Linked DNA regions of Arabidopsis thaliana. The protein of the gene in region 2 interacts with the protein of the main gene of each other region in a pairwise test. Each region holds a gene or a part of one and is shown on either strand. Other genes may lie near its edges.

Evidence for each region.
Region 1: the proteins of ALMT1 (region 2) and AT5G52420 interact in a protein complementation assay, tested with the Arabidopsis thaliana proteins (one large-scale study listed by BioGRID).
Region 3: the proteins of ALMT1 (region 2) and UBC32 interact in a protein complementation assay, tested with the Arabidopsis thaliana proteins (one large-scale study listed by BioGRID).
Region 4: the proteins of ALMT1 (region 2) and AT2G41705 interact in a protein complementation assay, tested with the Arabidopsis thaliana proteins (one large-scale study listed by BioGRID).

What each region holds. Positions count from the first base shown.
Region 1 is NC_003076.8:21,278,482-21,285,158, reverse strand, and holds AT5G52420 (uncharacterized protein), read right to left. Parts: upstream 3,387-6,677; 5' UTR 3,343-3,386; coding exon 2,614-3,342; 3' UTR 2,353-2,613; downstream 1-2,352. Other genes in the region: AT5G52430 (hydroxyproline-rich glycoprotein family protein), read left to right, coding at 114-209, 846-2,066; AT5G52410 (oxidoreductase/transition metal ion-binding protein), read right to left, coding at 5,866-6,364, 6,579-6,677.
Region 2 is NC_003070.9:2,654,563-2,662,964, forward strand, and holds ALMT1 (aluminum-activated malate transporter 1), read left to right. Parts: upstream 1-4,039; 5' UTR 4,040-4,237; coding exon 4,238-4,448; intron 4,449-4,570; coding exon 4,571-4,711; intron 4,712-4,844; coding exon 4,845-5,117; intron 5,118-5,211; coding exon 5,212-5,333; intron 5,334-5,420; coding exon 5,421-5,564; intron 5,565-5,876; coding exon 5,877-6,467; 3' UTR 6,468-6,748; downstream 6,749-8,402. Other genes in the region: BSL2 (BRI1 suppressor 1 (BSU1)-like 2), read left to right, coding at 154-392, 483-567, 664-762, 831-1,030, 1,110-1,185, 1,457-1,592, 1,687-1,826, 1,916-2,002. UniProt on the Arabidopsis thaliana protein: Malate transporter critical for aluminum tolerance. The STOP1 transcription factor is required for ALMT1 expression.
Region 3 is NC_003074.8:5,793,122-5,801,333, reverse strand, and holds UBC32 (ubiquitin-conjugating enzyme 32), read right to left. Parts: upstream 4,405-8,212; 5' UTR 4,039-4,404; coding exon 3,928-4,038; intron 3,440-3,927; coding exon 3,308-3,439; intron 3,210-3,307; coding exon 3,125-3,209; intron 2,986-3,124; coding exon 2,822-2,985; intron 2,305-2,821; coding exon 1,867-2,304; 3' UTR 1,587-1,866; downstream 1-1,586. Other genes in the region: REM22 (AP2/B3-like transcriptional factor family protein), read right to left, coding at 1-13, 770-874; AT3G16990 (heme oxygenase-like, multi-helical), read left to right, coding at 4,551-4,682, 4,769-4,986, 5,082-5,397; NRPB9A (RNA polymerases M/15 Kd subunit), read right to left, coding at 5,635-5,715, 5,852-6,010, 6,450-6,525, 6,780-6,808; AT3G16970 (Plant self-incompatibility protein S1 family), read left to right, coding at 7,244-7,666. UniProt on the Arabidopsis thaliana protein: Accepts the ubiquitin from the E1 complex and catalyzes its covalent attachment to other proteins.
Region 4 is NC_003071.7:17,394,106-17,402,311, forward strand, and holds AT2G41705 (camphor resistance CrcB family protein), read left to right. Parts: upstream 1-3,164; 5' UTR 3,165-3,405; exon of another isoform or gene 3,406-3,934; 5' UTR 3,935-3,977; coding exon 3,978-4,355; intron 4,356-4,450; coding exon 4,451-4,534; intron 4,535-4,629; coding exon 4,630-4,728; intron 4,729-4,810; coding exon 4,811-5,003; intron 5,004-5,090; coding exon 5,091-5,503; intron 5,504-5,586; coding exon 5,587-5,805; 3' UTR 5,806-5,976; downstream 5,977-8,206. Other genes in the region: ABCA1 (ATP-binding cassette A1), read right to left, coding at 1-12, 105-313, 639-855, 1,226-1,308, 1,407-1,575, 1,679-1,758, 1,919-2,005; AT2G41710 (Integrase-type DNA-binding superfamily protein), read right to left, coding at 6,155-6,939, 7,023-7,084, 7,431-7,481, 7,562-7,635, 7,816-7,904, 7,994-8,002, 8,149-8,206.

The DNA.
Region 1 (6,677 bases), on a different chromosome or scaffold from region 2:
TGATTTTCTCGGGAAAATCTCTCTGCGTAGTAGATCCAAGTGGTGGTTTCTGAGTAGTAGTAAGCAAGCAAATCTGGATGTTATTGTAGTCGGTGTGAATCTGAGTTCGAAAGATGAGGAACGTTGTTAATAACAGCGTTGAGACTGTTAACGCCGCCGCTACCGCCATCGTCACCGCCGAGTCTCGAGTACAGCCGTCTTCTTCTCAGGTAAACTACTAAGCTTCTTCTTCCAGATTTTCCGTGATTGAAATGTGTTTTTCTTCTGCTCATAGATCAGTATTGTTACTTGCTTGATTTAGATCGTGATTCCGAGATTTATAGCTTTTGTTTGAATGATTGCTCTGAAAATTTGATCTGTTCTTAGTTTTGAATTTCGCGATTTTGCTGTTTTGATTTAGCTCATAGTTACGAAACTGTAGTGAATGTGATTTGAATTTGCGATTTTGGTGTTTTGATTTTGATTACGATTCTAGATCAGAGCTAATGGTGAGCTTAGTTCTTGATTTCACGACTTTGATTTGTTCTCTCTGGATTACAATTGTGGTCTCAAAAAGGTAAAAAGATGCGTTGTTGCTTTTTCAATCTTTTTGTGGATTGGCTTTACAAGTCATAATAGCATCCATGATTAAAAAGGTTAAAAGCGTTTCTATTTCATGTTTGGTTAATTTTCCACGGATAGTATAAATTTCTCCAAAAGTGAATTACAAACGTTTAGCTACTTATTAGAAACTAAACAAGATTAACTTTATTATCAAAAGCTTTTACTTTGAGAAAGTTTTGTTGAAACAGTTCTCTCTAAAGGGGATCAAGATGAGTCTAATTTTGTGTGTTTAATTTGTACAGAAGGGAAGATGGGGAAAATGTTGGAGTTTATATTCATGTTTTGGAACTCAGAAGAACAATAAAAGGATTGGTAATGCTGTGCTTGTACCTGAACCGGTTACATCTGGAGTTCCGGTAGTTACTGTTCAAAACTCAGCTACTTCAACTACTGTTGTTCTTCCCTTTATAGCTCCTCCTTCATCTCCAGCTTCGTTTTTGCAATCGGATCCTTCATCGGTTTCTCACTCGCCTGTTGGTCCACTTTCTCTTACTAGCAATACATTCTCGCCTAAGGAGCCTCAATCTGTCTTTACCGTTGGACCTTATGCTAATGAAACTCAACCAGTCACTCCTCCGGTGTTCTCTGCGTTTATAACTGAGCCATCTACTGCACCGTATACTCCACCTCCTGAATCATCAGTCCATATAACTACACCTTCTTCACCTGAAGTGCCCTTTGCTCAGTTGCTTACTTCTTCGTTGGAGCTAACTCGGAGGGATAGTACTAGTGGGATGAATCAAAAGTTTTCGTCTTCGCACTATGAGTTTCGGTCTAATCAGGTGTGTCCGGGGAGTCCTGGTGGTGGTAATCTAATCTCTCCCGGGTCAGTGATTTCAAACTCTGGTACATCTTCTCCTTACCCTGGTAAATCACCCATGGTTGAGTTTCGAATAGGCGAGCCTCCAAAGTTCTTGGGTTTTGAGCACTTTACAGCTCGTAAATGGGGATCGAGGTTCGGTTCTGGATCGATCACACCTGTTGGGCATGGTTCAGGTTTGGCTTCAGGCGCTCTGACACCAAATGGTCCAGAGATAGTATCTGGAAACTTAACACCCAACAATACCACATGGCCTCTTCAAAATCAGATCTCTGAGGTCGCTTCACTGGCAAATTCGGATCATGGCTCTGAAGTCATGGTAGCAGATCACAGAGTTTCGTTTGAGTTAACAGGTGAAGACGTTGCACGTTGTCTTGCAAGCAAGCTAAATCGATCACACGACAGAATGAACAACAATGACCGGATCGAAACAGAGGAGAGTTCATCAACAGACATAAGAAGAAACATAGAGAAAAGGTCAGGAGACAGAGAGAACGAACAGCATAGAATTCAGAAGCTGAGTTCCTCATCGATTGGATCTAGCAAAGAATTTAAATTCGACAACACGAAAGACGAGAATATCGAGAAGGTTGCAGGAAACAGCTGGAGTTTCTTCCCGGGGTTACGATCTGGAGTCAGCTAACCAAATTAAAATGACATCTCTTCTTCTTCTTCCTCATTACCAAAGACAGAGATATAAAACCCTATAAGTAACAAACCTTGAACATGGATCGTGAAAAAAGGTAAGAGATTTGGGTTCTAACAACTTATACACACTGAATAAATAAGCTTAAAGCTTTGATTTGCAGTTAACTTCTGTACTCATGTAGTTGGAAACTTTGGAATATTCTTGGATCAGCTCCTACATCTAATCTTGTTACATTGATATAAATTGTTTATTTCTTGTTTTACTGTTTCATACAAATATATTGTTTGAACTGAGATCGTGAATGGTCTTATTCTATATCATTACTAAAACATTTTCATTTCTGTTCTTTCAGAAACATAGATTCGGTTATTATCGTAAGAAATCTAATACAACTGTGAACTACTACATAAACTGAATTGTTCAAAAGAAAACATCGAAATAATATACAGAACAAAAAGGGAAAACAACAAGAGCTGTGAACCACAAAGGAATTAAACCGGGTTTTGACTCTCCTTATTGGAACCGGAACTAAACCGGGATTTCAATCCTCCTTATCAGAACCGTAATACCTCTTAAACGCTCTGGGTAGATAAACCGGAATCAAAACACCAAAGAGATTAAACGACCAAATCCCTAAATTAGCCGCCGCCAAAACTTTCCCGGCATACATCCGCCGCGCAGAAACCGTCCCCGTCACATCCTCCCTCGAGAACTCACTCATAATCCACTCCACAAGAGTCAAAACCCTCCTGGCGTTGTAAACAATCGGAACAAGAATCCTCGCCGGAGCAGAGAAGCCAAACATGGTCGCTAATCCTTCCATAAAAATCTGACTCGCTAAAAGAAACACGTGCGGTGCAGCTGCGCTAACACCGTTCTTATCATCCTCAACGATTCCTTCGAAGATGTAACAGATCGGAATGATAAGCCCGACGATCCCCGCCGCTGTAACATAGATACGGAAGATTTTGTTTGTGGAGCTTGTGAGAGGAGCGTCACGGTTTGGATTGTTGTGTGGTGGGAAGATAAGTTTCGAGAGGAAGAAGAAGTAGATGAGAGTGAGGATCGTGAATATGAAATCTTGGATTGTTACGAGACCACTTGCGGAGAGAACGATGATTATTGCGAGGATGTTTAGTTGTCGGAATGAGAAGAATCCGGCGGGTTTTCCGGTGGATGATACTGTTGAGGTGGATTGGGTTTGATGTTCTTCTTCTTCTTCTTTGGGTAAGGTTATGTCGTTGTACGTTGGACCGACACCTCCAGACATCGTTTTGGTGTAAGTTTTTTTTTTTTGTTTTCTCGGGAAAATGTGGTGAGAAAGTTTTAGAGGTGGAGGAAGATAAAAAGAGTGTGAAGAAGGGGACACGTGGCGGATAGTGAAGAGTTTTGAATGGAAGAGGTTTAGAAGACGTGGCGGATTATTGTTGTGCTCACAATTAGTTTAGATTTTATTATTTTAACTACATGCAGGTAATTTCGTAAAAGTTCTTAAGAAACATATAAATATATGTGTTAATAGGAAGCCTAATTATTTTGGCTTTCTGGACGTAAGTGCACTAGGCTTTGTAGTTATAGATTTCAATTATAAGCTTCAATGATTACTAGTTATAAAAAATGATATAATTAGTTAGCAGGAAATGAATCCGGAACCATAAACTGTAGAATTGATTTAACTAAAAAGGAACTAATTACTAGAAATCGTATGAAACAAGGCATTGTAGATTACTAGACTTGTAGTAGAATATGGAATATTGTAGATATTCTACAAGAAGAGCTTAGATCATGGGTGAGAATACTTGGTTGTAGAAACAACTTTAAATTCGACCTCCAATGTCAAAGTGTCATTGTCCAAGTAATTACACTCCCGATGGCTATAGCCGCAAAATCTTCGCAACCCCACCCTTGAGTTGATTTCTTGTAACAGACGTTAACTGCAAGAAAAATAAATATATGTAAGGTATTGAAAATTTAGTTAAGACTTGAAAAAAGCAACTAAGTGATTTATTCAAGAATATAGAAAATTGTGTTTCAAAGTTAATTATACGTTTCTGTGTGACGTGATTGTTGTATACATGTGGACGTGGGTATAATACTCGGAGATCTGCATGCACGTAAATCTTCTCATCCTCCGAAAAGGTTTCACTATCAGCTATATATATGCAGAAATAAGGACAACCATTTGCCATCTGCCTCTCTTCCCTTTGGATACATCTTCAAACACCTATAGAAAAGTCACATTATTTTGTATACACTTAGCATACATAGACGTGTATATATATTCAATGACTTATTAGCCTCACCATTCTCTTCCTCCAACTGAAAAGTTGTTTGACACATAAAGATTCTCTGTCAATAAGGAGAAACCATTGGCACTCCAGGAGAATGTGGATGGTGAGAGTTTCTGATCAAAAGACATCACTTCCCAATTGGTAAGGGGTGGAACAACCATCACTTCAACACCAAACTCGCATTTTTGCCCGTCGAATATATATCCATTTTTTGGATTTTCGAATAAGTGGAGAGGAAGCATTTGAGAGAATCCCCATACCATTCTTAAAGCATTGAAACGCTTTACTTCAGTATCTATTAGAAAAAATGGAGTAATTCAACGTGACATATGTGACAAATGAACAAGTCTTATATAGTTAATATAAATATTGAATAATATAGATATGTTTTAAACCAACAACTTTGAATAGTAAAGTACATTTGTTCTTTCTTATTGTAGACGAAGAACTTGACATATGCAAAAACTTCAGATGTGCTGTCTATTTCTACGTACATTGAAATATAACCACTTCCATGGTCCTCGTCGTTCCCTTTTGGATATATAATCAATTTCCTGCAGGTTTTCTTTTTAACAGAAATATTATTGCATAAAGTAAGAAAGATTCATGTTCTTTTCTTATGATGAAGATTTAATTTAACCCTTCAGGAGCTAATGTGTACATAGTAAAATCATGGTCTATATGTGTTACATGTCTCATAAAACATAAATGGTAATATATAAGAGCAAGATTATAGCTACATACCAGTAATACCCGCCTACCGTGAAACGACGAGATTGGTATTTTTCATTGTTAAGTTGTGCGAGATTCTCAATCTTGACAGAATAGCAAGAAGGCGAGGATGTTCCGTGAAACTGCTCGCAATCGTAGAAGTTGGATTTGAGCATGTCGTTTCACCGTATGATAACGTTGTTGCATTCGAAATTGTGTTACCCATTCTTCATGAACCTTATTGGAAAGCAGAAAGAATGTTGCCAGATAGCGTTACATATAGAGAACACAAAATCTCTTATGATATCGTTTTTCAACTTTTAATGTGATTTAATCAAAGATTCATCTTTATCACTTCGTGATATCTTAGCTAATATTTATTTTATTGTTTTGAATTCAACATAGAAATCTCATCATCTCTACCTTTTTTTAATCAAAACAATAGTATCTTTTATCATATCTAACTAAAAATTTACTGCCAAGGTTTTGGTAACTAATTTTAAATATATGGTCAGATATTAAGAAAAATTAGTGAGACTCAACTTAATTTCCTATCATGTTTCAAAATTTGAAGTTGATCCAATACCATATTTATTCTTCAATTGCTTGTAGAATGGATTCAAAGACTAAATGGTGGTAGTAGTAAAAACTGGCGAAGACCACAATCATATAATCAGTGTAGTCATCTATCTAAGTTGGGGCTCATAGCTTTCCGGTTTTGGAATTTAAGACAGTTCATTGTTTTGCATCTTTATCTAACAAATCTTAATCTTCAACCAAACCGCATAAACCTACTTCGACTTGAATTTCTCGCCGAGTTTACCGACTCTGTCCTTAAACTCTTCCACAGTCTCCTTAGCCTTCACTATAGAGATATTTCTGATCTCATCAGCCCTCAAGCTCGTTTGTCTCCACACTTCCTCTGCTTTAGACTTAGTTTTGATTTTGAGGTCTTTGGCTTTGTTCTCCATGCCATGAACTTGTTGTTTTAAGGCTGATATCAGAAGGCTTATCTTCTCTATGATCAAGTAAATTACTTCTCTGGATTTCTCTCCTACATCTTTCGCCATCTTCTTCAGCTTAGCAATCAGATTTCCAGCTCTTTTCATGGTTCCTTCTACATGATTTTGCTTTCCTGCGTTCAGCCAAGTAGATTCGGTTTTTGTTGTCTGTTCATGGAGGTCGCTGTCAACAATCACTTTTAGGCCATACTTCTCCCAACGTCCTCTAGCTTCTTCTAGCACTTTTGCTTGTTCTCTTGCTCTTCTCGCTTCATCCTTAGCCCAATCCCTTCAAAAACAAAACTCAAAACAGTAAATAATCTGAAGAGCTAAACTCTCATATGTTTGATTTGTCACATTTTTCAATATAAAAGTTTTTGAGTTTCACTAATCAATGTAATTAAGAAATGTTTTGCCTCTATCTCACTGTGTAAGATCTATTCATGCTCATTTGATCTTGCTTGGGAAAGAAAGAAGAACTTTCAAGATACTATATTCTATACCTGGCAATGGATAAAGCGTTCCTTTCAACTTCAAGCTCATTTTGTAACCGGAGTATCTCTTGGTTCTCATCCTCCACTTGCTTTTGAAGTCTATCAAAC
Region 2 (8,402 bases):
ATAGGTATACTATCTCCTGGTTTCCATTACTGGTAACTCATAGTTGAAGATTCGTTTGCATCCTCTTATTGTTCAATTAAGCATCGGGTGCCTAAAGACTCGCTTAGTGATTCTGGAGTTTTAACAATATGTGACCTAACTATGTCTTAATAGGTTATAGCTCATCTTTTGAAGCCTCGTGGTTGGAAGCCTCCTGTTCGACGGCAGTTTTTCCTAGATTGCAATGAAATAGCTGATCTTTGTGATAGTGCAGAACGTATCTTCGCAAGTGAACCGACTGTATTACAGCTTAAAGCTCCTATCAAAATATTTGGTGATCTGCATGGGCAGTTTGGGGATCTTATGCGCCTTTTTGATGAATATGGTTCACCATCTACAGCTGGAGACATATCGTAAGTGCATCACTAAAACTTGTGACATCAGTGGCCCTACTTCTTGCTACTTTTTGCTGGACATTGCTCATTTTGTTGTTTAATTGTCAGATATATCGACTACCTCTTCTTAGGGGACTATGTTGATCGGGGTCAACACAGTCTAGAAACAATCTCCCTTCTACTTGCACTAAAGGTAGTCCTAAGTGTATTATGTCAGTTTTGCCTTGATGCAGGTGTTCTAGTTGCTTTTGACCATAGAAGGTTTGACGTTCTATTTTTGGTACTGCAGGTTGAGTACCAGCATAATGTACACTTAATTCGGGGAAACCATGAAGCTGCAGATATCAATGCCCTTTTTGGCTTCCGGATAGAGTGTATTGAGCGAATGGTAATGTAATCTGCTTCTGAATCTCTTGTTTCCATGTTTATTTGTCTCATGTTGTGGTTGCTTTGTAGGGTGAACGTGATGGAATCTGGGTGTGGCACCGAATAAATCGTTTATTCAATTGGCTACCTCTTGCTGCATCGATTGAGAAGAAAATTATCTGTATGCATGGGGGTATTGGTCGTTCTATAAATCATGTGGAGCAGATAGAAAATATTCAACGTCCAATTACAATGGAAGCTGGCTCCATTGTTCTTATGGATTTATTATGGTTAGTCCTTAGCTTCTATATGTTGGTCTGCTTAATGTTTTGGTCGAGTCTTACTAATTTGTTAATTTGGATTTGTTAGGTCGGATCCAACTGAAAATGACAGTGTCGAAGGTTTAAGGCCCAATGCTAGAGGCCCTGGATTGGTTACTTTTGGGGTAAGTAATTTTCTTGTGTTTTAATTTTATGTTGTCTGAATTTCGTTTTTCCTCCCTTCAGAAAACCAATAATCTCTTTCTTTTCTCACAATATTTATTCTGTGCAATGAGGTGCTGCTATTGTTAGACCAAGAATATATGATATTTTTTTCTTGAAACCAAGGAATATAGTCTAGTTTGCTCCCAATAATTTACCATATGAAGAAGTGTTAATTGCTTTTGCTTTTCATTTTTACCTGTTCTGTTACTCACCAAAACTTGGCAATTGTAGCCTGACCGTGTCATGGAGTTCTGCAACAACAACGATCTTCAGTTGATTGTACGAGCACACGAATGCGTAATGGATGGATTTGAGCGTTTTGCTCAGGGGCATTTGATAACGCTCTTTTCTGCTACAAACTATTGTGGTATGTACATGGACTCACTAAGTGCCATAACCGGATTTTGATATTTTGATGGGGTTATTTCTGTTTTCTTAATAGTTTTTATACTAAATCTCAGGTACTGCAAACAATGCTGGGGCTATCTTGGTACTAGGGAGAGATCTTGTAGTGGTACCTAAGCTCATTCATCCGTTACCTCCAGCACTTTCATCGCCTGAAACTTCACCAGAAAGACATATAGAAGACACATGGATGCAGGTTCATATTGCTTCATTTCATTACTGAATCTTAGTCCATAGTTATTGACCTGAAACATTGGTACTTAGCGTAGTATGCACTTTTCGCAGGAGCTGAACGCAAATAGGCCAGCGACGCCAACCCGAGGACGCCCACAAAATTCAAATGACCGAGGAGGTTCTCTGGCTTGGATGTGAGGCAGATAAAGAGGCACTCGTGCACATACATACCGCTCCAAAAAACACTTGTAACATCTGCCTCCTGGTGTTCCTCATGTGTACAGAAAAAGATGAGCCATAGACGAGAAACGATGAGGCTTGAAGATATCAGGGGGTGTGTAAATTAAGATGTTAAAAGGTTAGAGAAGTCAGTTTTGGTGGTGGTTTAGTAGTGATTTGTAGAGTTTATTTGTCCGGGCTTTAGTCCTCTCGTTCATTTTTATTCAGTCTGCTGTTTCTTCTTTTTTTTTATCATGTCATATCTTTCTTTTTTCCTCTTCAATTGTCTCCGTTGTTTTCGTTTGTGGTATAGTTTTTTGGCGAGTGGGTATGAATTCTTAGAATGGTAATGGTTGATTAGGTGGAGGATGGTCTGATGTCGTGGGGGGGGGGGGCTTTTGTGTATTTTAATTTTATTGTCAGTTCATACTTTGTAACATTTGTGTTGATTATATGATACGAAAAATTTTCCTGGCTCCTTTTGGTTGTCTAAGCTAGACCAAAAAAGAAGAGAAAAGAAAGAACTTATGCCCTTGAAAGCGACTTTGAGTTGGTTCATGGATCCTCGGGTGATGGACTCAGTCACTCGATTTGCTTGAGATTCATAAATTTATACATGTGCTTTGTGGCCTTCAAATGAAACACTGGTGATGTCGATATGATGTGATTTGGCATCGATGCTGTCATTGGCTCCAAAAAATCATGTTTTAGCGGTGAGAACAAAAAAAACAAAATTTTTGGAGGATCAGATGGTTGAAGTTAAAACTCGAGGGTATTAGATGGTTAAATTTTAATATTGTTTTGGATATAGGATGGTGATTAAAAAAAAAAAGTTTTGATTAGTGTTGGTGCAGGAATTAGCATCTCCGATAATACCAATTTAAACCAAGGAATAACGTGAATAAAATCGAGAATTCGATTGAACCGGGGTATCCCGGCTAGTCTGTTAATGGGCCTAAGTCATGAGCTCGCCAGAAGATTTAGGTCGACAGTCAAGATCGCCATAGGCGGCTTCTCAGGTCGTGTAAAGGGAAAACTTCCATTTAAGAGAAGAGGATCTCATGAAGAATAGAAGTAATGAAGATTTAGACCTAAGATAATTAGAAGTTTATCATATTTTGGTATGTTGGACCCATTGTATAAATAGGGGGGGGGGGTCAAGCCCTCTAAGAGGATCATGACCAACCTAAGACAAGAGACTACTATTACAGAGCAAACTCTAGCTTTTTATTCAAGCAACTTTGTTCTTCTCCTTTGATTATTCGTGAGCTAAGAGAGAAGTGAATTTGTCTAAATCCCTTAGTACAAATTAATTGTTTGATTAGAGAATCAACAATTAGTTTTGAACCTGATGATGTATTGGTCAAACTTGTAATCATCGCATCTGAGTTTGAGGTCATTTTTTCCAACTGTTGTTATACATATAAAATATCCAAAGAATAAAAGCCTTGTACGATCGGGGTATTGGGGTCCGTACCAACTTGTTGACATTTTTTATGTTTTTGGTGTGTGGCAGACTAGATTGAAACAATAATGACTAAGCAACTCAGTAAGAGTCCTTTTTTTGGACTCAGTAAAAGAGTCCAAGTTTTCTTTGAACAACAAAATTTTGTTGAGGTGTGTATGCACTTGGTTGGGAACAAACAAGTAGATGGCAAAGATCATTCGAACATTGGAGCCCAAGTGTTGAGGGCACTAATCTTGTCGATTACAGAAACGAAATTATTTGGGGAAGCTGCAAGAAAAAGTTTAGTTAAATCTTTTATATTCCTTAATCAAAATGTATCATGCATACACTATATACAATTCACTAAAGTATGATAGTTAAATACCTAATTAATATCATGATCAACTCCTACCGGTTCATCTAACTAATCCAGCTCAGCATAAAAACCCTCACGCGTCGCTCCAATTAAGGGGAGGGCTTAACTAGTGCCCAACTTACTGGGCTAGGTTCGACTCCGTTTTTTTATTACATTTTCCTTTTCCATTTCTTTAAGACTTTAACCCTGAAATCTCGAAGTGCAACGCACCACTAATTTTTTATAAATATTAACATAACATTTCATGAGTCCTAAACAAGAGTCTCTCTTGGTCTTTATAAATACATCGATCCATGTACATAAAAACAACAAGTCATCTTTTCTTTCTATCTGAAAGTAATCAGAGAATCAGAAAACACTTGAGAGAGCTGAGTGACCATCAAAAGGTGTTATGGAGAAAGTGAGAGAGATAGTGAGAGAAGGGATTAGAGTAGGGAATGAAGACCCGAGAAGAATTATTCATGCTTTCAAAGTGGGACTTGCTCTTGTTTTGGTCTCTTCCTTCTATTATTACCAACCTTTCGGTCCTTTCACCGATTACTTCGGTATCAATGCAATGTGGGCTGTCATGACCGTCGTTGTTGTCTTTGAATTCTCCGTAGGTTCGTCATCTAGTTTCTATCATTTGAATATGTCTAGTAGATATATCTAGGGAGAATGCAAGAATTTTTGTTGTAAACTTTTGGCCATAATATTAAATAACTTTGGTTTGATGTGTACTTAGGGGCTACACTTGGGAAAGGACTAAATAGAGGAGTGGCAACATTAGTAGCAGGAGGACTAGGAATTGGAGCTCATCAACTAGCAAGATTGTCGGGTGCAACAGTGGAACCTATTCTTTTGGTCATGTTGGTCTTTGTGCAAGGTAAACCCTTATAACACTCTTTACATTTTCAGATTACCATGCGTTTCCAAGCGTTTGGTCAATCATTGTTTGGCTAAAGACTAGATCAAAGAAGATTGGGCAATGAGTAATTAGTATTGTGATATATGTGCAGCTGCGTTGTCGACGTTCGTAAGGTTTTTCCCATGGGTAAAGACAAAGTTCGATTATGGGATATTGATATTCATATTGACGTTCGCGCTGATATCGTTGTCGGGGTTTAGAGACGAAGAGATAATGGATTTGGCAGAAAGCAGACTATCGACAGTGGTGATTGGAGGAGTCAGTTGCATCCTTATCTCTATCTTTGTCTGTCCTGTTTGGGCTGGACAAGATCTACATTCTCTCCTTGCCTCTAACTTTGACACTCTCTCCCACTTCCTTCAAGGTTTTTTATTTCTTTCTCTTTTTCTTTTCCTCATTATGTCTCTACAAGAACATAAATATATACATATACGAGATAGTGAATGTGAAATTGGCAGATTTTGGGGACGAATATTTTGAAGCGAGAGAGAAGGGGGACTACAAAGTAGTGGAGAAGAGGAAAAAGAATCTTGAGAGATATAAAAGTGTTCTTGACTCCAAAAGCGATGAAGAAGCTTTGGTGGGCTACTCTCTCTCTTTCTTTCCCTACTTGCTTCACAATTATGAAATCATTTGGATTGATTTTGTTTTGATATTTTGCGTTTAGGCTAATTACGCAGAATGGGAACCGCCTCATGGACAATTTAGGTTTAGGCATCCATGGAAACAATATGTTGCCGTTGGTGCATTACTCCGGCAGTGTGCCTACAGGATTGATGCCTTGAATTCATACATCAACTCAGATTTTCAGGTAATCGCTAACTTTTTGTTAGGTGTTTGCATATTTAATTAAAACAAAATTTGAAAATACATAAAAGAAGAAAAACTAATATGCTATTATGCTATAACTATTTTTGATCTAATACAATATATATATCTATATATATATATATATATATATTTACATGTCGCAAATGCAAACACAAAAATAACATCAGGTTGAAATTCTTAGTCTGTTAATTTGTTTATATAGTTTTTTTTTTTAGTGTAAACATGTATAGTAGTATATGTTTCTGGTTAACGTGTTTCTAACCCTTTGTTTATTTCTTATTTTTTCTATTAGATCCCAGTGGACATAAAAAAGAAATTAGAAACACCATTAAGAAGAATGAGCTCGGAATCGGGAAACTCAATGAAAGAAATGTCCATTTCACTAAAACAAATGATAAAATCATCTTCTTCTGATATCCATGTCTCAAACTCACAAGCTGCATGCAAATCTCTTTCTACTTTACTTAAATCAGGCATCTTGAACGATGTTGAGCCTCTTCAAATGATCTCATTGATGACGACTGTCTCCATGCTCATAGATATTGTTAACTTAACCGAAAAGATCTCGGAATCTGTACACGAGCTTGCATCCGCTGCAAGATTTAAGAACAAGATGAGGCCGACCGTGCTATACGAGAAGTCGGATTCCGGAAGCATTGGTCGTGCCATGCCAATAGATTCTCATGAAGATCATCATGTTGTCACAGTTTTACATGACGTTGATAATGATAGATCAAACAATGTTGATGATTCACGTGGAGGGAGTTCACAGGACTCATGTCATCATGTTGCCATAAAGATTGTTGATGATAACTCAAACCATGAAAAACATGAAGATGGTGAAATACATGTACATACATTAAGTAATGGGCATCTTCAGTAAGTAATTCAACTCATTATTTGAGGAGCAGTCTTTTGTACCCGCAAGATTATAGAGACGAGACCATCGGTATATAACATATTCGGGTATTTCATTCAGATTTGAAGTTTGTTACAAATACTATTGTCGCCTTTGATCATTTTTGAACTATTGGTCACACATTTAATAAAGTCTTGGTCTTCGTTTTCCTTTGCGTTACTCTTTTAAAGATTTTTATATCCAACTGATCAAAAAATTTAAAAATAGCATGGTTTTATTTTTGGATTATGGTGTTTTAGAGAGCTAACCTCAGTAAATAAAAGAACATAGACCGGCGCCAGATAAAGACAAGTCCGGCAAAAACTCTAGATTGTTATTTTCTATGAATATAATTAATTTTATTCCAAACATATATCGTATGAAAAAAAAAATCATTTATCATTGGAGGAGGCGGTGATCAGGCGCAGTGAGAGGAGGAGTCGGTTAACAAAAGTGGTCTTGGCCAGTGCCAAAGCGTCATTGTAATCGCTTTCAATTCTCAAAACCAATACGGTAATATGCACAACTAATAGAATGTTTCAGGTGACAAATTTTCTCACTAAAGTCAAACTTTCATACTTGCCGATGAAGTAACAAACATACAGTACGTTCAATACATTAAGGATATATATAAGAAACAAAAGCTGGAAATTGTGTGAATTTAGCTAGGTTAGATTATAGTATAATAAAGTTGCCTTGTACGATTGGGGTAATGGCTAATGGATTCCGTACGTTGATGCCAACTTGGTATTGGCAAGGCTGAGTGTGACTCGGTGCAAAAAGCACCAGCTGCTATCTAATTCCGCGTTCTAACCAATACTACATTTTCATTTATTATTACTTTTTACAATCCATAAATCTCTCTGCTGTGGAGGGTTGATATAAGATCCGAAACTTCTTTGTTGATAAAAAAAAATCTAACAATCTTCCAAGTTCAAATCTCACTCAGGAAATATGAATGACTGAATATTTAATTAGATATTATCGAAATTGTGATTCTTGTTGACAAAAAAAAACAAATCTCATAAGAAGTGGTGATGTCAGTTTTCGTTGAGAGAAAGAGAATTTAAGTGGATATGTTCAATATACAAAAAAAAAAAAAAAAAAAAAATTGGACAATTTGGTCGAATATTAATAAGGTAGGTCTAAATATTAGTGAAAGTAACATATGTGAATGCCCAAAACGGACGGATATTTTACTAGCTTTGAAACAAAGAAACGATGGGACAAAATGACAAATTGAATGTCTATTTATTTGGAGTTTGTCATGATTATTCATGTCAAAAACGCAAACTATTATTAATAGACTGTTTATTTTATTATTTTCTTACACTCGCCGAAAATGTTCAGAATCGGAAATAATTAGATGTAACGTTCCTGTAAAAAATGCATTGAGTTTTAATTTTATTTTATTTTCTTAAAGATAAAAAATTTCTGTTAAATGAAAAATGAAAGAGTTGTGAATTACGTTTTTTTTTTTAATATTGATTATAAATGTACAGCTAGCAACTTTAAAAATGGTTAGAAAACAAATGTTGGATAGCACTATTTTATTTTTACATAAAGAAAATCTTTTGGACGTGGAATTTTAATAGAAATTTCGGAAATAAATTAAGAGAACAATACTAAAGTATGCTACTAATAGCCGCTTTTAAATATCGGATAAATCAGCACCAAAGTAGAACTTGGTTACGTAAGTACTAGTCTCTGCCTCTAATTAAAAATACTCTGTCTCCAGTTAATTATATTTCTCATTTTCAATTTCTTTAACCCTCAACGTACGATATGAAGTACAACGCACCACTGATTTTTTTCTTAAAATAATAAAATAACATTTCACGAGTCCCGAACAGGACTCTCTAGTCTCATAATGCTCATTATAAATAACGACGATCCATCCGCTCAAAACAACAAGTCATC
Region 3 (8,212 bases), on a different chromosome or scaffold from region 2:
AAGGAAGCGCTCTCTGGTTGGAACAAACAATGAAGAGTGTTAAAAACACCAGAGAAACAACAGATTCAACGTTTCAAAGACAGAGAACGTGAAGATTCAGAATTTAAACTTTTATTAAACAAAGACAACCAAAAGATTCTACCTTCTAGCCAAAGCTGAAAGATCTAACTTTTCAAATACAGAGAACCTAACATTCAACCGTTGAGACCCATAAAAACCCAGAGAAAGAACAGATTCAACGTTTCAAACATATAGAACGTAAAGAGTCAGAGATTAACCTTTTATTAAACAAAGACAACCAAAAGACTCTACCATTTAAACAAAGATTATAAGATTTAACTTTTAAAACACAGAGAACTCAAAGATTAAACTGTTAAGAGTCTTGAGAGCAGAGAAACAACAGATTCAACGTTTCAAAGTCAGAGAACGTAAATATTCAGAGATTTAACAGATTCAACCTTTCATTAAACAAAGACAGCCAAAAGCTAACAAGATCTAACTTTTTTTATTTTTTTTACAAGATCTAACTTTTAAAACACACAGAACCTAAAGATTCAACCCTCGAGAAGCTGAGACCCTTAAAACACCAGGGAAACAACAGATTCAACGTTTCAAAGACAGAGAACGTAAAAGATTCAGAGGAAAAACAGTTGCAATCTTTAAAACAAAGAGAACCAAAAGATGAATAAGCCGTAGACTTGAAACCCATTCAACAAAAAGAAGAAAAAGATTCCCACTTTTCAAACAAAGATATCAAGAACAACGTTACCATGCAGTCAGAGGATAGATCTGCCCTCTGAAAAATCTTGAAAAAGCTCAACATCTGCCGTTCTTCTTTAATCCGATCAAAAACTATGTTACTACTCTTACCCATCTCTCTCTCTCTTCCTTCTTCTATCTCACTCAGAACCTCCTCTCCTTCAAGTTTCTTTAGTATAACTCTCTCTCGCCCTATCCCTATATCTCTCTCTCTGGTGTTATAAATGGGCAAAAGTGAGTATCCAAATATGTATGCTTCTTTTCATTAAAAACGAGTCAAGGTTATAATAGTGGAAAAAGCAGTCACGTTCCCATAAATCAAAGTGTTTTTTTATTTTATAGTAATAGGCAGATGAAACAATTGCTGTTAAAAATCTGACTTCAAAGACACGCAAAAGCAGTGTTTGCTAGTTTTAGTACCTGAGGATCCCTGAGCAATAAGGACTGATAGACTTTTAACTTAGCTTCTTTTGCCACCATCCCTTCTTTTTTAAAAAAATATTATTTTCATTACGATCAACTTCATTTATTAATTTGAACCTTCGGTAACTTTTTCTCTTTTTAACGTTATATGGCAGTCAAAGGTCAAAGTTGATAACCTTTTCTAAACTGAAAAGTAAAAAAATAAGGTACAAGATGAGATCACACCAAACTAATGTGTGCAGAAGATACCCCAAAACTAATATGTTTCTGTAATTTATAATGAAAATACACACAAATATATAAACCACACGACTCACTACATGTGTGTTCATATACATACATATATGATCAAATTGTTAAACTTGACCATGAAATCTATTGATTTAAAAATTTGGATACATTTTAGACATCATGTACTCAAAACGGGAAATAGTTATGAACATAGTGGAGGTAATCAACAATTCTATTAACAAAGCATCAATGTATTGATAAAACGGTCGTCAGTGTTCAATTCCAAAATACATATTGTTAACTTGGTCACAAGCTATAATCCAATCTATCAACTAAGTTGCAAGACAATGTCACACAGAAATTATTTACGCCATTATGCACTTTAATTATATTTATAAAATATTAAACAACACAACCCCATTTCTTAAACGCAGCATTGACTTTCATCAGAGTTCAAGACTGATCATCCATAAACCCAGTACTGTAACCATTTGATTTTATGAACTTCTTCAGAAGAAGAACCATGATAGCGATTGTGAGCCCAACCGCCGCCCACGTGAAGAGTCTGTCATCGACTGGCTTCTGAGCCGCTCTTCTGGCCATCCTTTGCTCACCACTTACAGAAGCTTTGACCACAACTTCAACCGCTGGTAAAGGTGCTGCAGCGGGAACCACACTAGCTGCTGTATTGACTGCTTCAGCTGTCTCTTCTATGATTTGATCATCAACTATGGTGTCTGTTGTAGCGATGGACCGCTCTTCTACTACAGTTATCGCTTCCTGTGGCTCAACTTGGGAGTGAGCTTCTGATACGATGGAAGGTGCTTGGCTACATTCCAGAGGAAGAGGTTTTGGAACCACGGTTGCTTTGCTAAGGATGTACTGATGAATCTGCGCTTGTTAAAAGGTCATGGTTACTAAAAGTTTTTTCCAAAATTGAAGATGAATCAGAGGTATGAAACTAAAGTCATAACAAAAATCATGAAGAAAGGGACGAGAGTTTAGACCAAAAGGAGATTGTTAACACTACTATTGTCTTTTTTTTTATATTTGTGCAACTGACTACTTTTTAAAAACGACAATAATCAGTAAAATGGTGTGTTAGGACTTGAGCAGCAAATTTTACTGTATGGAGAGAATAATAACAGCTGTGATTGCAGTTAAAACAAAGCAGATACTCTTAGAGCAAACATTAAATCATAACCGCTAGAGATATGCAAGCCTAATATATAATATATTGCGATCCCGTTTTGACCACCAGCTAGTCCTATGGTTTATAATGATGCAATGCAATGGTATGGCACATACTCTACAGGTTCAGCAAGCATCTAGCTAAATTCATATATTTTCATCAGGATATTATGCATAGTGGTTCAACACCCAAGGGTATTCTAGTGGGGAACTATACCTCATCAATAATTTTTTGCCGTTCAGGAGAGCCATACTTAGGTGGTGTCTCACGTGATTTAATGGCTAGTGTACGTCTCTCATCCTTTGGATAATCTACTGAGCCCAGTGCTCCATTGGGACTTGTGGGCATAAATGCAATGAGAGCCACCAAAGCAGTCCGAACTGAAAAGAAACAAAGCTCAATCATAATACAAAAGAGCTGATATAGTTCAACCTCATGTAAATTACAAGTGTCTGAGTAATCTTTTAGGAAACAACATAAAAGTCAAGAGATAAGGTCTCTTGAGATCCATGACTTTACCACTCCATGAAGGTTGCCAATGCTCAGGGTGGTAGTTTGAAATGCTCAAGCAAATCTTGGTGTTAGTTTCAAAGCGCCCGTTAGGCTGAAACAAAAGTACAGAGATTCTTTAGATACATACTCTCTTATGGAACTTGCAACATCTGTGTGTTTTTATATATGAAATAAGAGTAAGATCCTTACGGTCAATAACATGAATGAAGGAGGTTTGAATGGATAATCTGCAGGCAACTGAATTCTCCCATGATAAATCCCGCCCTCGAATTCAGTATCACCAGGACCTCGGATGGCGAATTGCCACTCAAAGATATTCTCCTGAAGTTAAAAGATAGATAAGAGTAATCATGTAAACTATTTGGTATCACACAAGAACTTGTAAAAAACAGCTATAACATCGCGCGCAATCTATTTGGACCATGACATGTTGGAAAAAGTCTTCACAGTTAAAAAAATTAGAAACGAAGAACTAGTATGACAGCTGAGTGGATCAAGGAATCGTTCGTAATCTTCCCCACTTGACTCAGTTATTCCAATAAAAACACAAAAATCCAAACTTTATCTGTTGCACGAGTGTTGAAAGTAGAGAGACTTAGTAAATTCAGTGTATACAAGAAGATATATCGATCCTCCCTAATCATGATCGCCTAAAATCAAACACCATCACTCAGAACAGATACACAATTACAACACAACACAACATAACACAACAACATAAGACAAGGGGATTTTCTCAAAAAAGGAAATTTCAAATATAGATTCGAATCAAAATTCCCGATCTAAAAAGCTAGAATCGGAGATGTTACCTCAAGAGGAAGAGACATAAAATCATCAGACGGATTAGCTTGCATCTCCTTAACCTCCTGCAAAATCCTCTTCACCGCCGGATTCTTCCGATTATACCTCTCATCCGCCATCTTATTTATCCCCACGAGATCTTGCCGGAAGTGCAATCCGCCGCCGGAGTTCTCTCTGTCCGATTCGTCTTAACAGAAAATAATAAATACACAAAATTAGAATTACCACATGGCTTCGGGAGATGAGCTAATTAGTACGGTGATATAATACAAACACACAAAATTAATTCCAAAACATTTTCCACGTCACACTCTTTAACGACGGATACGTGACGTGAGAGAGCTTCTGAGTAAGTGCCACGTAATTAATAAACTTTAGTCATCCAAACATCTCAACGGTTCAGAAACTGTCACGTAATCTGAGAAATTTAAGCGCCTCTTTACAGCCGTCGATTTGGGAGAATCATTAAGCTATCGTGGCGAGACTTTAATAGGCCTTGGCCCATTAATTTAAAGCCCAATGAAACGTGCACGTCACAGACAACAGAAAATCAAAGCGTTGACAGTGAATCGGTGAAGAAGAAGAGTCTTGAGTCTTGAGTCTTGAGAGAAAGGAAGAAGAAGCAATTTCAATGGAGAAGAGAGGGGTGATCGACACATGGATTGATAAGCACCGTTCGATCTATACGGCGGCTACACGTCATGCTTTTGTCGTCTCGATCCGTGACGGATCCGTTGATCTCTCGTCCTTCAGAACTTGGCTGGTACTGTAATTAGTAATTACTGATGAAAACAAGGCAAAATATGAAATCTCACTCGATGACTTTTAAACGACGTTGTTTCCTTGTAGGGGCAAGATTATCTGTTCGTGAGGAGGTTTGTGCCGTTTGTAGCGAGTGTGTTGATCAGAGCTTGCAAAGATTCCGGCGAGAGTTCCGATATGGAAGTGGTGCTTGGTGGTATAGCATCGTTGAATGATGAAATAGAATGGTTTAAAAGAGAAGGATCGAAATGGGATGTTGATTTCTCGACCGTTGTGCCTCAAAGAGCTAATCAAGAATATGGCAGGTTATTGATTTCATATATGCTGATTGAATAGATTTCTCACACTCGAAAATGAAATTAGGAACCAGCAAATAAACCGGAGTTTCTGGTTAATTCAGGTTTTTGGAAGATCTGATGAGCAGTGAGGTGAAGTATCCGGTGATTATGACAGCTTTCTGGGCAATTGAAGCAGTGTATCAAGAGAGCTTTGCTCATTGTTTAGAAGACGGGAACAAAACTCCGGTGGAGCTTACCGGTGCTTGTCATCGTTGGGGGAATGACGGGTTTAAACAGTATTGTTCGTCTGTCAAGAACATTGCCGAACGTTGTCTGGAGAATGCCTCCGGTGAGGTGCTCGGTGAAGCTGAAGATGTACTTGTACGAGTTCTTGAACTAGAGGTTGCCTTCTGGGAGATGAGCCGTGGAGGACAGTAGCTAATGTTTGGGTTTGAATTTCTCATTTCCTCTAAATGCCAAAGAGAAACAAGTTCCAATCTTTATGTTTGGTGAAACACAAGTTGAGATTATGGTTTCATAACAGATTACATGAATACGGATTTGTCTCTGACTGGGGCAGAAGGTTGTTCCCGTCATTCCACATATTACACTTACTGGTAACTACATCAACTCCTAAAACTCTTAAGAACTCACCAATTGAAACCGAAAAGCTCTTTATTCTCTCCAGCGATGACCACAATTCGGGTTGCAACAGACAAAGAACAGTGTCATTCCTTCTTCACCTCTAGCCGTAGCCTGCACATTCAATGATAGCTACATTAAATCCTCAAGCGGTGTACAGAATTTGAGCATAATGTTTTGGGGAAGCAAACAGTGAAGATACAGCATAACCAAGTAGTTAAATAAATAATGGAGCTTAAGAGAGTTATACCTGGAAGAAAACGGCCTCCCTATGCTGACACTTAGAGCAACGCACAGCCTTGGTTCGGGGAAGAGTAGGGTCAGAAGCCACGTCTGTTAAGATCTGAGTTCGCTCACTTACAGAGTGATGAACCTCGTTTCTGTACACACAGCTGTTATCAGCTACCTCCTGCAAGTCAGTGCCACAAAAAGTATAAATTCTGAGATGAGGACAACAAACCCATTTACATGATCTAATCTAATCTGTCAATTTGTAACAACAAGATTGATAATGCAGCTTAAAAAATTGCAAATAACTACTCAGTTTGTGTAAATCAATAAGCTAAAAGAGGCCCTTCAAGTATTCATATAGATCTCATAAACACAACACTAGAAAGATAAACCATAAGAACTTGCTAAGCCTTAATTGAAGGAGTTAGTAAATAGAGAGGTTGGTAAAACTAAGGAAACTAGGAGCATTAAAAGAGAGATAAAAGCAGGAAACAGTTTCATTAAAGTCTCTTAATTGCAATGAAACTAAGTCCCACTCGCAATTTTGTGCACTACATTGAACACTAAAAACCCTTTTTCCACACAAAAAAAAGGTACAAAATGACCAAAAGCTATACCTGGTGATCACAATTACGGCAAGCATAGAGGAGGATCTTCTGTTCTTTGTCCTCCTTAGGATACAGAATGTTATTACTGAACCAAAATCAAACAGAAACAACAATGCAATTAAGAAAGGACCCAAAAACAAAATTCGAAAAAAGGTACTCACTTTTAGCGAATTGTCACCTTATCAACCATAGATGGTTCAACCACGGAAGAAATACATCAAAAGTAAACAACAAAAACTAAAAAATTCATGCAAATTTCGAAACTTTGAAAAAACCTAGACGAGCAGAGAGGTGCAATTCCAGAAACTAGGAACAGAATTAGCATAAGAGAGCTCTTACCATTCGCGGCAAAATTTCATAGTACTCATCTTAGCTGAATCTCTTGAGAGAGAATTAGGTTCCAAAACCAAAACTGAATCACTGTCTCAGAGAAATCTGGCGGGCTCGTTTTGTTTATTAGGAGAAAAATAATGCGATCGTCGTTCTAAATAACAGAGTCGCGTGATCGATCTTCGGATCGGACGTAGTTTCACGGGTTTTCTCGGGCTTTTGAAAATGTTATTGGGCTTTTATAAAGCTTATTGGGCTTAACACCATAGTTGACTACATATACATCAACCATGACATTTAAGTTTTTATTTGACCACATATGAAGAACAAAAAACATGTTACGGAAATGTAATAAACTGGTAACACAGTATATATCGAGTGAAAGAGTCATTCATCCATATACAATAATTTCATATTGCAACAAAAAAAAAAAAATGGGATCTCTAGTAGAACTTGTGGCTTTCTTAGTGACTATGTGTGTTAGTGTAACAATATCTCGAGGCCAAAAGGATAGCATCCCTCCAACTCCAACATCCGGTTTCGACAACCCAAGAACAACAGTGGTGATATACAATGATCTTGGGGGTCATCTGCCATTGAGATACCATTGTAAATCAAAAAATGATGATCTTGGAGACCGGAATATGGCGGTAAATGGAACTTGGTCATTTGAATTTAGACCGAGTGTTTTTGGAGGAACTTTGTTTTTTTGCGGTTTTATATGGGATAAGGAGTTGCATTGGTTCGATATCTACAAACAGAGTAGAGACAGAGAATTCGCCGAGTTTGGATGTAGAAGATGCGAATGGAAGATACGCAAAGATGGACCTTGCAAATTGAACAAGAACAGTAATATGTTTGATGTTTGTCTTCCTTGGAATTCTCAATCGCTTTAAAAATAATTAGCATGTATGTCTACTTCTATTTTTCTAATAAAAATAAAAATTAGTATTTCATGTTTAGATGAAAATACTGTTAGTTAAGAGGTACGGTTATTTAACTGACTCAAGACCAATTATATAATCGTGATGAGATTTCCTTCAATATATAATTTTTATTGACTATATATAGCTTTATATTTACCAAAATTAATATGTGACTTTAATGGTGAGAAATATATAGCTTTCCTTATATACCTAAGTTATAAATAGATTATTGACTACATATATTACTAGGCCCGCCTATTTAGGCGGGTGTACCCGAAATTTTCAAATACTCGAACGGGTCTAAACTTCAAAACCCGAAAAATTTGAACCCGAACCCGAATAGGTATCCAAACATATCTCAAATATAAGTATATATTAGTTATATTTATACTTATATATAAAAAATATTAGGATTTTTTTGGATATTTTAGTGATTTTTGTGTATTTTTAGATATATTCAAGCAAAACTACTCGTGTTGTTTTGGGAATTTTTGAAATTTTCAAGTAATTTAATAA
Region 4 (8,206 bases), on a different chromosome or scaffold from region 2:
CCCAGAAGGTACCTGCTCAACAATTATATAATCATCCAAACCATAAACACTCAAATACCATGCATACATGTAAGGAAAGAAAATATAGAGCAGGTGATACATACAACAATCCCATTACGCTTTTGACAATAGATTGAAACTCATCATCAGTGTATTCACGGGTTGGAAATGGAACCATTCTTATCACTGAGGGGCTAAACAGTGTCCATGGCAGCTCAAAGCGTAGAGCTGAACTAAGATTTGAATGTGATAATGGCAAGTCGTTATTTTGCTGAGAAGCAAATATAATGAAAGAGTCTACCACCTGCTGGAGCTGCAAAAGGGTATAAGACCAATCAAAACTGGGCGAAACCAAGATGAAACCCCCTACTTCAAGAATTTCTATTCAAATCAGATGAACTGATTTAGTTTACTAAATGGTAACTACTACTTTAGTGTGTGATAATCTAACACCTGATTTGGAATTTCTTTGACTAATCCTATATTTCCCTATAATAGCATAGATTATATAGTCTACAGACAAGAATTATCTGACTACTGTACTGCCTAGTAGCTTTATGGGGAGAGCTACAAAGATGATAGAAAAATCATGGGCACAGATTAGACAAACTTTCAATGAAAATAAGTAATGGCCATACAGTCAAGAATCCGCTAAAGCTGTATTGCATTGTTGGTATGGTATTAATCCCCATTTCGAGATCATTGATATAAGGTCCATTTGTGTCCATGATCGACTTGACATTTGGGAATCCTGCGAATGCCCATGTGTGGTTCAAGCGGATGCTATAATCAAACAAATGAGGTCCTTGTTCATGGAATACCACTGCTCCTTTTATTTTTGGATTCGAACAATTCCTAAGCAAACATGATGAGGCTTAATCAGTTTTAACATTTAAAAAAAAAAAAAAAACGAAAAAGCATAGACAGCTAGTTATAACTTTGATGATAGTACTAGTGAAGATAAAATGCAGACACACTGGGCATGTGAAGCCAAAATATCTCCCTGTTTCCAACATAGAAAAGATACCAGTCTTGTTCAGGTAGTATAATCATCAAAGTTGTAGCAAATTTGTAACAACTAACCCAAGGAGATACTGCCATTATTCAAGAAATGCTAACCAATTCACAGAATAAACAGAGAGATGTACAAGAAAAAGTTTGAAGGCGACAAGAAACTAGGGATGAAATTGCCTTCTTATTAGCTGGAAAAAAGAACAAAACATACCTCACTTCGCTACAGACACCATAATGCGCAGATGTTATATAAGTTTCCAGCTCTATGTCATCTTTAAAAATTTTAGTAACTAGCTGCAAACAGAAGACACAGGGTCGATTAAACGTGTGACATATGAAGAGTAACTATCGATCTAGAATGCAGCATAAGATGAAGACGTGATGATGATTACCCGCAGTTCCGGAAACTTAAGAGACAAAATGTCGATCATGTTATTAGTTTCATCAGTGTCAGGTGCAAAAGCTAAAAAATCCCCCTCAGCAAGCAAAAGCTTCAAAACTTCTGGAAAACTAGGAGAGTTGCCTTTGCCCACTTCGACGACTGTATCTTTGTCTATGTTCCTTTCATGATCAACAGAACAAAATGCAGAAAACGAAATCAAAATCCAATTTTAGTACGAGAGAGAGAGAGGCTAGTGACGAGTGTAAAAAACTGATATCTTACGAGTGAGCCGGGTGAATTGTGGTGTCAACCCGTGTCCTGACGGCTATCAACAGCAACATTACAATAGTCGGAAGCAAAATCTGCCAATGAATAAGAGAAAGAAGCAAAATTTGATCAACAATTCGAAATTTTAAAAACAAAAATTGCATTCAGCATCAAGGAGAAGAAGACCCATTAAGACGAGCAGTGAATAAGCATGAAAACGACATAGTTTTGAGGAGCAAAGAAAAAGAGAGAAACCTCAGCTGAAGTAACGAAGGGATGACGAGTTTTGAGGAGCCAATTCTTGCGGAGCATGGCCTTGAATTGCCTCTTCGATGAACCCATTTTTCCTTGGAACCCAGAAAGAACCCTAGACGATAGATTCTAGTCTTGGCTTCAATAAGAAATCATACTTTTATGGTTCTTCTTTGGGAAAAGGCAAAGCAAAGTAGCAAACTAAGAAAGCAGAGAGAGGTGGCGAAGACTTGGGCTCACCTCACTGACATTTGTGCTTCCTTTTTTTTTTTTTTTTTTTTCCTGCCAATTTATTTGATTCATTAATCAATTTGATTATACAATCAAACAAAAGAATTTTGCAACTAGCTGCGGATAACACAAGTGGTCGACAAAAATAGAAGAATTCCGAAACTGTTTCATTTATTTACGGGACCTTTCTTCTTCTATCAAAAAACCCAAAAAATAAGGAGAAGATTAGATTAGTTGTCGTGATATTAAGAAGGTAATCTTATATTAAACCAAAAAAAAAGAAGAAGATAATCTTATAATTAATATATATAAGTACTTAAGTACAGTTGCTGATGTTGACCCAAATATAAATCTTTGCGTCAATGCCAAGTAGGGGTGGCTCTCTCACGGGCTCCACATTAAAAGCCTAGTGTAGTGTACGTGGAACATCCTGATTCGTTTTAGAGTTGCGTTACGCCAATTATATTACGACGAAAACGACGACGTTCCTAAGTTTGACGGCAAAGTATACGAATGTTTTTATTATTTTTCCGAAGGTTGCCAATAAAAGCCGCCATTAGAATTATTCCTTTCATTGCCACTCCCCAACTTGATTCTTATTTTTATTTTTATCAGTTGTGACACAACTTTAAAGAAATCCACCTTCATATTCAATCCTCAAAAATGCTGTTTTTTTTTAACACAGAAAAAAAACAATTTTTAGTAAAATTATATCAAATGTAGAATCAAAATGACACTATTTTCTTCAACTAAAAACAATGAAACTTTTTTTTTAATACCATTAACTTTTAATAATTTATCTGGATTTTTTCAAAATATATGATCAAATTTCAAGTAACATCTAAATATATGTTAAAGATGATTTTGTTTGGGCTGTCGTTTCCAAGGATATTTTTGTTATCCGCCAGAGACAAAAAAAATCTGTTATGAGAAGCGGGGCTACTGGGCCAGCTCTTTGTGGCCCATAATTTAGAAATATTTTAAAACTTATGTATTGTTTTTGTTTTTTTTAGGGTGCGATTTTCCCGACTAAACCAACTCTACTTGTCTGTACATGTGTGTTCGACTAAACAAAGTTACAATCGTCTTCTGCTTTGTTGTTCGTCCATCTTCTACAATCGAACCTACTTCCCTTAACATCCAATAAACCAGAGAATAAATTGATGGTTTTCGATTGTCTCCTGTTAGCTCGATTTCTCCGCCGGCGACTTTTGGGATCAAATTTGATTCTTCACGATTAAGATTGAATTCGCCATTAGGTAAAGCTGCTGAATTTTAAATGTCTAGCTCAAAATCCAAACCCAAAACAGGTCCCAATCTAAGAAAAGTATTCATTCGTCTTTGCCACCTGTACAACTTTTTAAGATTTTCGTTTTTTTCTCTATTGGTGAACAAGTGATTATTTTAGTCTACCTTTTTTTCGATTTCCACTAACTAAAACGCAAGTAAATTTTTATCTTTTGTTTTAAGGGATAGTGGAGGACAAAATCTTGAAAACTGTTTTTGGATCCCTTCACCAGGTCATTCTTATTCTGCTTCTGTAGAAAGTAATAAACTAAAGTCATAATCTATCATGAATATGTGAACTTTTTTGAATTTGTTGTCTTAGTATCAAAAAGCTATGGTTTTGAAGATTACAGCTAAACTTTTCAAACAGTGTCTTTAATAAGCATTAGGAATTTCTCGAATGTTTACTTGCCACATTGTTCGATTATCTCTTGTCTCTTTTTGCACATTCCTTCATGTCTTCTTTCTTGTGTGTGTGGCTGTGGCTTAAAATATGTGCAGGTGGAGCATCATTTAAGAATCTTATGCTTTGGCTACAACGCCTATGGATACGGGTCAAAGCAGCATAGAACCTTATCAAGCCAAGTCTTTTAGTCGGGAGAGCAGTGTAGCCTCTTCTTTAAGCTTATCACGTAGTTTGCCTCACCTAATTGACAATGACGTCGATAGTGAGAGTGTCTCAGAGGCAGGGGATATTGGGGACCGCTCACTTCGGAGAAGGCATAGTGCTGGTAGAAGCAGCCGTTTGTCTGCTGATGATTTTATAGAACAAGGGACTCATGATACTTCTCGTCAAGAACAAGATATATTACATGACCTTCGAGCTTTCAACACTGCTTCCGTAAATAAAACTTTGCCTGAGGACATAACAGCATCTCCTTTACCGACCAAGTCACTCTTGTCACCTGAAATAAACAACTCCGTAGAGACTACCTCTAACTTTGCATAGTCACATCATTGTTAGTATTGGTTTCTTTGTCCAATGTTTTGATCTATTGTAGCTCGTGGGTTGCACAGGGAAAGGAGGAAGAGCGAGTGTTACCAAAGTCCTTGGAGTACATATCATGCCTAATTCATTTGGCTGTTTTTGGGATTTTTGGGGTAAAATGCTTATTTTCCATTTTCTGTCTGTCTCTCTGTTGTGCTTTGTTTTTGTTTAAATCATTATAATCAACTCGTTGACTCCAAATATACAGGCCATTACGAGATATTTGCTGCAAAAATTGTTTGGGCCAACTGGTGCTCGAGTAACAAGTGATGGGAGCATCTTGTACCTTGATCTTCCCTCCAACATGGTGAAAGTCGCAATGCACTCATCTCAAACTTAATTACAAACCTATCTTTCTTAATAAAAATTCTCCAAATGCTTCCTTATAGGTAGGATCATTCTTGATGGGTTGGTTTGGCGTTGTATTCAAAGCAGATATAGCAAGAGTTTCTGAATTTGTGGCGATAGGATTATCGACTGGTTATTTGGGGAGTCTGACAACATTCAGCGGTTGGAACCAGAAAATGCTGGATCTTAGTGCTGATGGTCAATGGGTGTATGCTGTGCTTGGCTTTTTATTAGGTAAAAACAAAAAATTCCCTTCTCAATCTCCAATCACCTACTAAATTGGATGAAACATACTTGCTTACAGCATAAACGACTTTACAGGATTGTTTCTCACGTCATACTCCATAATTCTGGGAGTGGAAACGGCCAAAGGGTTTAAATGGCTTCTTCATAGAAGAGCTTCTTCTGAGGATAAATTCCATTGTCTTAAGGTTAACACCTTCCAGAGCCATATTGTGTCTCTGACCCTGATGCTTCTGTTGCTTGTGGCTTTACTCACTGCCAGTTCCATACTGCTTGTGAAAGAGTTTGACAAAGGAACAAGCGAGGCTCAGCTATGGTTTGGTTGCTTAGTTGCAGCCCCTGGTGTCTGGCTCAGATGGTTCTTAGCCCGACTCAATGGACGTGGGCTGGGAAAGGATAGTCAAAATTTGAGATGGGTCCCATTTGGCACCCTCATTGCAAATGTAGTTGCAGCTTGCGTTATGGCAGCATTGGCTACCTTGAAGAAATCGGTATAAACTTCCTCACCTCCTCTCTCTACCAAACAGATCAAATCACAAAAGATAACATTCATTGTATATATTTTGGGAAACAGGTGAACACGAGAACATGTAACACGGTTGCTTCGAGCATACAGTTTGGTCTGTTGGGATGTCTGAGCACAGTTTCGACCTTCATGGCTGAGTTCAATGCGATGAGAGAAAGTGATTACCCATGGAGAGCCTATGCGTATGCATCTTTTACCATTGTGGTTTCTTTTGCGATTGGAACTATTATATACTCAGTCCCTGTCTGGGTAATAGGATTCAGTTAGTTGTATCAAAGCTAGATAAGTCTTGTGCAGATGATGTGATAATACATAGTCGTAACATTTGGTAGAGATGAATAATTAGATCGGTCACAATCAAATTATATTATACCTTGTGCAGAAATATTAAGAGCAAACTTCTATACTATAATGATAACTTTTTTCTGTTTTACACAAAATATCATGATTCTATATTCCACACTGGAAAAAAAAAAACACAACCACTAACAAAACCTGTACATTCCTGCTTCAGACCATTGTCACACTTTTCCCAACTTTTTCTCCATAAAAGAGACAAAGAGATGTCAAGTCGACGAATTCATCTCAAAAAAGGAGAATCTGACATACATAAAGTCTAAAGGGAACGGCTCATTTCTCTTGTGGGAGGTAGCTGTACGTGGAACAGCTGGTCTCTGTCTTTGTCACCTGCAGAAGAAAGAGAGCCAAAGAAAATGACATAAGGAAGATGTGTTGTAGTAACCTCTGAAGTCTCTGGTTCTATAGATATATGACTACGAACCTCTGAAGTAAGAGAGGATCCTGAAGGAAGAAATGGTGTCCAGAGAATAGGGTCTGCAAGAGGATCCAATGTATTGTAGTTGGTGAGCAATGGAGCCGTTAAGAGAGAGGTAAGTGGGTACATGCTTTTCTGAAGAGACAAAGCAGCAGCACCGCCTAAAGCAACTCCATGACTCACAACTGGTTTCTCTATTGCCTTGCCGTTATTCTTCTCCATATTGATGATGTTACGGTTTGCATTCTCATCGTTTTCATTATTGCAGCTTTCTTGGATCTTCAACACTTTCTCCTCTAGGCTCTTGAAGGCAGGCGACTGAGACAAGATGCTTAAAGCAGAAGAGCTTGATGGTGATGATATTTCTTTTTCTTTTCTCTGAGTTCCACAAAGGACGCCAAGGTTTGGCGCCTTGTATGGTTCTGTTGCATGGGATGTGTGTTCCAGTGTTTTAAGCTCAGTACCAGCATCTTCGACGTTTGCATCCTCTGATGCTTTTGATGAAGATTCTGGTTGACGGTTCTTGTTGGCTCCCCACCACTTTATGTATCCTGTTAGATCAATCTTTCTTTCCAGACAAAAGCTACCTAGAAAGTCACCTTCTGTTCCACGATCATCACCTGCCCCTGTTAATAATGACAATGAGTTTTGAATAGTCTGATGCAAGCAAACATTTGTTTCAATTAGGTCAATATTGTTAGCAACTCACCGTAATGAATGTTACTGAAGTATTCAGGTCCAGGCATACGACTGGCTGATGCGTCCCATCGGCTGGTCGGGAAGTGCAGAATAGATGGAAAGACAGCAGAAATGCATATCAGGTATGAATGTTAATTGTGAGAAAGAAGGTTAAAAAGACAAAACTAAAGAGGGCTACAGCCAAAACAGTGAAGATAGTTTTGCCATATCCCTATTCTTAAGAGTAGCATATAGACTTTTCTATGAAATTAACTAGTAGCATATCCACCATATGTCAATTAATCAAAACCGTGATGATCCACAATGTGTCACTAAAGAATCTTCCTTATAGGCAATTACACAAAGATGATCACTCTTGATTCCATAGTTTTTCAGACAAAACAGAGAAATGAGAACTCAATTGCTGGTCCAGTTTTACCTTTGAAGTCCACGATATTTCGCTATTCCCCTAGAGAAACCGCTGCTTTTTCTGCCAAAGGGATATCTAAAGAGTATCAGCAATAAATGGTTCTTAAAAGAAAACTATAGTGCTTTTAAATACATACGCACCTACGTAAAGATGCAAGGTATTCTTCCCTTGAGAGATTTTGCATTTCTTCTAAATCCCTGGTATAATCAGTCACCTACGAGAATGAAATACGTAAATGCATGTAGCTAAAAACAGTGAAACTTGAGAAGGGTGGCTCCAAAACACTTCTAACCATCCTTACTCCACTTATGCATATATATTGACCATGAAAATTATTAAGGAAACCACACGGTTGAAGAGTAACTTAGAAAGCATACTACGGTAGCAATCTCACCGGAAAATTTATAAGTGTCCCAGGACCCCAATATTTTAAGGCAGCAAGGTCGTAAGCTCTAGCAGCAGCCTCTTCATCATCATATGCTCCTGTCAAGTAAGAGTTGGGTTCTTCAGTGAAAAATTATCCAATTTGATATACAAGAATATAATCAACACATATAAAGCTTTTAGCTTACCTAGATAAACTGGTGTGGCGAAATTCCGTCACCCATGAAAATATATAGGAAACAGAAAAGATCAGCTTTGATACTCCAAACAAGAGAAAACTTATTGCAAATGACAACAGCAATTTTATCAGATGCAGAGAGAAAAAAAAAAGAAGAAGAGGAACCTTGTTTTCCCTTCTTGTTCTGGTTTTGGTTCCAGGTACTCTTATCCCAAAGGTGAGC